2 linked regions of the Drosophila melanogaster genome follow. The main gene of each other region encodes a partner of the protein of the gene in region 2 in a complex. Each region holds a gene or a part of one and is shown on either strand. Other genes may lie near its edges.

Region 1 (3,700 bases), on a different chromosome or scaffold from region 2:
GGTCACAGAGTCGTAGGACCAAGCGCATGTGTAGAAACTTTCATCGGTCTAACGAGGGCGTAACGATGATGTATGTAAGTAATAGCATATGATGAGTACTTACATCTGGGTCTGCGTAGACTTGCAGCAGTCGAATGCCTTCGCAGGACTCCTGTCCGGTGCTCCTCTCGCACTCATAAATGGAAACCCGATCCTTGCCAACGGTGGCGAACACCTGCGGCTGGCCTCTGTCCAGGAACGGATTGAACTGCACTCCGAAGATCTGATGGTTGTGGTCCTCGCGGACATGGGAGCTGCAATGCATCCGGGATATAAACATTATGACTTATGTTCTGCCTGGAAAAATCACACCTATATTTGTACAAGGGCTGAACCATTTTGGGTGCCTTGATCCGCCGACACAGGCGGTTCAATTTTCGTGTATTTGGCGATTTGCTTCTGGTGGTGGTCGTAGTAGTGCTGAACAAACTGGCGGTGTCCTCCCGATCCACGGAATTAACTTCGTGCTCATCATCCGGCTCCACAACATTGCAGACACTCGAGGAATTATTGCTCAGCACTGCCTCCGCTGGAGAGTGGTCAGTGGATTCGTCCTCTGCCGGTGGCTCTTCGCTCGGAGGAGATATTTCACTGGGATTCGTTTCGGTCATATCTGTTTTATTCCGGCAAACTTAAAAGCTTCTTTTGTTTACAAATTGTTTATCCCTAGAGTGACCGTCTGCAAATACTGCAGTGCAAAACAGTGTTGCCATTCTAGAGCGAAAAGACCTAAACGAACAACCCTGTTTAAATCACAATTATAATGTATTTAAAAATCTAATTTACATAATACTAGTTTGCTTAAATCTACTTCTTGGCGGCGAGCAGCTCGTCCAGGTGCGCCTCCACCTCCTTATGTGCCTTGACGCTATGTTCGGTGCGAGAGGCGGCCTCGTGGACGAAAAATCCGCGCAGTAGTTCTGCTTTTGTTTGAACAAGTTGCGCCTGCGCCTGTTGCAATTTTAGTTCGTTTGCCAACTGCGGCCCCAATTTCAATTCGGCGGTCTCCTTGAGAAGCGTGCACTTACGAGTGAGAAGCGCAACCAATTTCTCCAGACCGCTGCGATGCTCCTCCTCCAGGCGCAGAATCTCCTTTTGGTCGCAGCTTAAGTCCGCCTCCTGGCCAAAGGCGTCCGGGAACTCCTCGCGTATCCTGTCGCACAATTCGGCAATGGGTTGCAGAGTTGTGCGTAATTGAGCGGACAATTTGGTACGCACCGTCTTGCGATCCGTGTAATTCAAGGGCGGAAAACTGCTGCCGCTCGGTAGACCTGTTAGATTTCCAATGGTTATTCACTGCTTTTGGAATAAACTTGTAACGCGCCTACCAAGCACCTGCTCCTGACCAGCTCCCTCCATCTCGCCGAGTCGCGCATAACTTCCAATGGAAACCAATTTGAGGGCTCTTTTGATTTCATCACTCGGATTTGGGCCCACATCCAGGCGTCTTAGCTCGTCCAGCACTAGCTTCAGCTTGAGCACCTTCTTCAGCTCCGCATCGCGAGCCAGCCGCAAATCTTCCGAGTGTTCGGGCAAGAGCGTGGCGGATGGATCATCCATTTAGGTGGTAAAATGCTTAAATTGACCCGAAATTGATTGTTTGATTCGAATGGGCAAGCGCATGGCTGCGATACGGCAACGCTACTGAGCAACAGTGTGACCGGTAGCTACTAACGATAATATATTTTACTTATATTTTATAATGGTCACCCCAAGATTATTATTTAAAGCGCGCTAGAGAAACGAGCTAAATTCAAAAATGTTGATTACCCAAATAATTATGAAACAAATTCGAGACTATCCCATTGTGTCCACAATAAGCATTGCCGTCAGCACTGTCCTGGCCTCAGAGGTGATTTGGAAGCTGGTGCAGTGCTCGCGCAGCAAGCGAGAGAAGGCAAGCCGCGTGCACGAAGTGATCATCTTCAATGAACTGGGCGAGATCTGTGCGGCGGTGCATATGCGCAACAGCAGCATGGGATCCCAGAAACCACAAGTGTCGCCCTGCTGCAACACGCATTGTTCGCTGCGGAATGTGGCCAAGATCGTAGAGCAGATCGATCGGGCTGTATACTCCATTGACCTGGCCATATACACCTTCACCTCGCTTTTTTTGGCGGATTCAATAAAGCGGGCCCTGCAGCGCGGCGTGATTATCCGGATCATCAGCGACGGGGAGATGGTCTACTCCAAAGGTTCTCAGATCAGTATGCTGGCACAATTGGGAGTTCCAGTTCGCGTCCCCATTACCACGAACTTGATGCACAACAAATTCTGCATAATCGACGGCTTCGAGCGCGTCGAGGAGATTCGTCTGCTGAGGAAGCTCAAGTTTATGCGTCCGTGCTATAGCATCGTGATCAGCGGCTCCGTAAACTGGACGGCTCTTGGACTGGGAGGCAATTGGGAGAACTGCATTATCACAGCTGACGACAAACTCACAGCCACGTTTCAGGCGGAATTCCAACGAATGTGGCGGGCTTTTGCGAAGACCGAGGGGAGCCAAATCCAGCTCAAGTAGAAATCAATTGATTTAATGTATGACTACCAAACAGTTCCTCAGTATGCCAAATAATTATAGTTCTTATTTTCTAAGTGCCTTCAATTAAACTAAAACTTTTTAAGGCAGCTTGATCTTCACACACAAAGGAGTGCCAAATTAATTAAGCAAAACAAAAGTAATCAAAATGTATACCTAACAGTATAATCCGTATGAAATCTTTATCACTTCGATTGAGTTGACTAATTTTCAACGTGCATTTAGTTATGATCAGCTTTGACTATATATATAACTTTCTACTTTATTCATCATGTTATTGAAAGCTTTTAAGTAAATAAAAGTTAATTACAAAAAAGATTACATGTATGTATGTACAAAACATTCCGAAATATAACTGCTACAGATTTCTTTACTCTTATATAGTTTCTAAACCAAACCAACTTATCAACTATTTGTCCTGTTGCTTCAGCTTATCAGCGCGGCGCATAAATGACTCCTTTAGGCCGTTGAGTCGTTCGATTTCTGCCAGAATCTCATAATATTCCAGATAGGATACACCCGATTTCAGTAATATTTCTTGTTTTAAAGTGAGCACGCGGGCGACTTCCTTTTGCTTGCGATGCAAAGCGTTCAGTTTGAGCGAAACGGACGACTCCTTGGGCGCCTTGGACTTCTTGTCGTTCTTTGATTTCTTGGACTTCTACGGGGATCAAAATGAAATAAGTTTTAGGTCGCAAATAATTTGTTTACGTACTTTAATTTCCATTGTTTATGTGGAGATCTCCGCGTGTTAAGTTGTTATTAAGTTCGTGGTGAATGGCAAAACAAAAAATAAGAAGAAGAGTAGGCGGTGTAAGTTTAGTCATTCAAAAAGGTAATTTTAACAAAACGAATTCTAAATAAAAAGGTCCTTTTAACAAATAAAAAGTTCCGAAGTACTACATTGCGTGATAATTTAATAATTACATTCAGTTTTAATATCTTAAACAATTTCGGTGGCTTTGTGCGCGCATCACTGTGATTGGCATTTAATTTTACCGTGGCACACCTGGTATATTTCCGCTTCCCGAACTGCGGTCACACCGGCGTCTTTTTCTTGTGAAATTTTCTGTATTTTGTTGTGAAAATAATAATAAATATGGGTTCCTCGTCGTCGGGAAA
Region 2 (2,944 bases):
TACATTGCGCATACGGTCACACTGCTACCTTGCTGTCTTTTTCTTGCTCCAGCACTTTTACATAATCTTGAAAACTCAGCGTAAATATCGCCCAAAATACGAGACCTGCACTCGTGCACCGTCTGCAGAGATGCGATACTAACCCGCTGCGTTTCCGTTGCAGGAGAACCGAGATGTCGTTCACACAGATCGCGCGCAGCTGCAGTCGACTGGCGGCCACTTTGGCCCCAAGGAGGGTCGCCTCCGGCATTCTCATCCAATCACAGGCCTCCAGGATGATGCACAGGATCGCCGTGCCATCGATGACCAGCCAGTTGAGCCAAGTAAGCGAACGTCCAAAGCGGTCCCTTCCGTTGCAGGAGCCCCAATCGCAGTTGAGGACCTAACCTCATCGCAAACGGCGGGGTTTCGTGATCTACGAGTTTCAAAACATTCAATTAAGTGCTTGCAATCATGAACGCAACAGAAGATCCTCGCCATGTGGCCGTCGAACCACCCAATTCGATTGCATCACATTATTTTGCATAAAACATGATTGTTTCCCTATCGCACACACACACACATACACCTGCAACACCGGTGCTCGCACTTGTGTGCGGTTGATTGTACTACAGTGAAAATCCTCTAGAAGTGACCTTAAAATGTAGCGGTTTTAAAACATGTGATTTCAGTTTGTTAAATATCTAAATATGTTTCCACGCCAATCCAAGCAATAGTTTTCGCGGTATTTAATCAGTTGATCATACACCATCGAACCACCCTCGTTTAAATTGCGTATATATTTACACTGCTCATTGAAGAATTAGCTAAGTTGTATGCACCATAAGTCGTAGATGAACTACCAATGCAATTATTCATATAGAGACGAAAATTCACTAGACATTAACATTCGCAGAAGTTCGGTGTGCGCAGCTACTCGGCCAAGAGCACCATCGAGGACATCAAGTTCCGCGTGCTAAAGGTTGTCTCCGCCTACGACAAAGTGACCGCCGAAAAGGTAAAGTACCCATTGCATGGCGCCACTAATCCGGTCTTTGTTTCCTTCCTTTTTTTCTCGGGCCGGCCAAAAACCAGGAGTGCCGTGGTCGCTGGCAAACGCAATTGGTGCGCAGATACTCGGCGAAACCGCCGCTCTCGCTGAAGCTGATCAATGAGCGCGTCTTGCTTGTGCTCAAGCTCTACGACAAGATCGATCCCAGCAAGGTAAACGCCACATATTGCCTTTGCCAGTGCAATGGTCGCCTCAGAAATCAGAACTGAACAAAGCTGATGAAACCTTTGAATACCCAATGCTAATGGCTCGCATTTACAGCTCAACGTTGAGTCGCACTTCATCAACGACTTGGGACTGGATTCCTTGGACCACGTGGAGGTCATCATGGCCATGGAGGACGAGTTCGGTTTCGAGATCCCCGACTCTGATGCCGAGAAGCTGCTTAAACCTGCCGACATTATTAAGTACGTCGCCGACAAGGAGGATGTGTACGAGTAAATTGTAATTGTAATGCAAGCCATTGAACGGATTACACTTAAATTTAAATAGAAAACAAGTCAAATACAATTTGATCAACTGAATAAACCAAACGTTAAATTAACTTGTAGTCAGCAATTGTACACGAGGGCTATAATTAACTGCGGAATAGCAGCTAATAAATTAACTATCCAAATAAATAAACGAGTCATTTAGTACTGGCGGTTAAATTTAAATTTCGATAGAAACGTTGGTCTTTCGATTGTTTTAGAAAGCCTTGTGTATTTTAGATACGCAGCGACGGTCACGTTAATCTGCTAGCATTACAAACAGAATATTCGAAATGTCAGACGCTGTGGACAAAATGTTGGCGGGAATGGGTAAATATATCTTTAAACCACCGACACGCGTTCTATTCCGTGCTTCCAATTTCAGCGGCCAATCGGCAGACCATGAACCGCCAGCTGGCTAAGATAGACGAGATAATGGAGCGGTCGAACAACACATTGCTCCACATCGAGTCCAACAGCAAGGCATTCAGTCAGAATGTGGCTTTGTCGGAGACCCAGAAGATGTACAACCTCAGGCCGGAGGCTGAGATGACCCTGTCCAAGATCCTGGAGAACTTCAAGCTGCTCATGTCTAGCAGTGACCAGCGGGAGGAGACATACAGCGCTCTGGAGGGCTGCCTGGCCTACAGGCATCGCGTGGAGCACCTTGGCAGCTCCGTGCGTAAGCTGGTGGCGCTCTACGACACCGTGGGCCAGATGAAGAACTCACAGGAAGAGCAGTATGCCAGCGAGGATTCCCCCTAGCTCATCCATTTTTAGAATTTATTATTATGTTATAGTTGAAAAATAATTTAAATAAATTAAACATTTGATTTGTATTTAAAGCTCTTTAAGCGAGGTTTTCAAATCATGGCCATATTGTAGCTGCTGACTTGGAGAAGCGTATAGGTAAGCACCTCTACGAACATCTCCAGGCGAGCGGCAAGACTCCCGGTGGCGAGTATCTCATTGGGATTGGGCAGCTGGAGGCTGTTGGAGCGCAGGTAGTTGAGCTGTTCCATATTGGCGGCTATGGTCAGAAGCTTCTCCTGCTGCTCGGATGTAAAAGCATCTGGCGGAGACTCACCGCCGGTTGGCATGAGCTTTTCCAGCTGCTGCGCAAATCCATGGAGCTGCGTCAGCTTCTGCTTGTATATGGATTCTGTGGTGTCCAGAGCGGCTGCCTCGTCGTAGATCTTGGCCAGCTTTCGCTGGAAACCCTTAAAATCATTGTACACGTCCACGGCACTGCGCTGCTCCTCCAGACGCGTCAGACTCAGCGAAACGTTGGATGTGTTGATGCCCATGGCCACCGACTCGTCTGCTCCTCGCAGGAGCGTTGAGTTGGTACGTTGTAGCTCCCGCTTCTTGGGCATTTTCTGCAGGTTGGCCGGGTACTCTTCCAAGGTCTTGAAGAGCTCCG

Evidence for each region. Proteins that work in one complex are often made in the same cells at the same time.
Region 1: msd1 (region 2) and dgt2 share a complex: the UniProt entries of both Drosophila melanogaster proteins name them as parts of the augmin complex.

What each region holds. Positions count from the first base shown.
Region 1 is NT_033779.5:11,987,923-11,991,622, reverse strand, and holds dgt2 (dim gamma-tubulin 2), read right to left. Parts: upstream 1,688-3,700; 5' UTR 1,600-1,687; coding exon 1,368-1,599; intron 1,311-1,367; coding exon 847-1,310; 3' UTR 651-846; downstream 1-650. Other genes in the region: escl, read right to left, coding at 1-48, 104-293, 352-650; zuc (zucchini), read left to right, coding at 1,799-2,560; CG34163 (uncharacterized protein), read right to left, coding at 2,988-3,239, 3,294-3,305; CG6686 (uncharacterized protein), read left to right, coding at 3,678-3,700. UniProt on the Drosophila melanogaster protein: As part of the augmin complex, plays a role in centrosome-independent generation of spindle microtubules.
Region 2 is NT_037436.4:1,329,968-1,332,911, forward strand, and holds msd1 (mitotic spindle density 1), read left to right. Parts: upstream 1-1,776; 5' UTR 1,777-1,814; coding exon 1,815-1,851; intron 1,852-1,906; coding exon 1,907-2,286; 3' UTR 2,287-2,359; downstream 2,360-2,944. Other genes in the region: ND-ACP (NADH dehydrogenase (ubiquinone) acyl carrier protein), read left to right, coding at 174-323, 896-982, 1,075-1,203, 1,313-1,492; msd5 (mitotic spindle density 5), read right to left, coding at 2,385-2,944. UniProt on the Drosophila melanogaster protein: As part of the augmin complex, plays a role in centrosome-independent generation of spindle microtubules.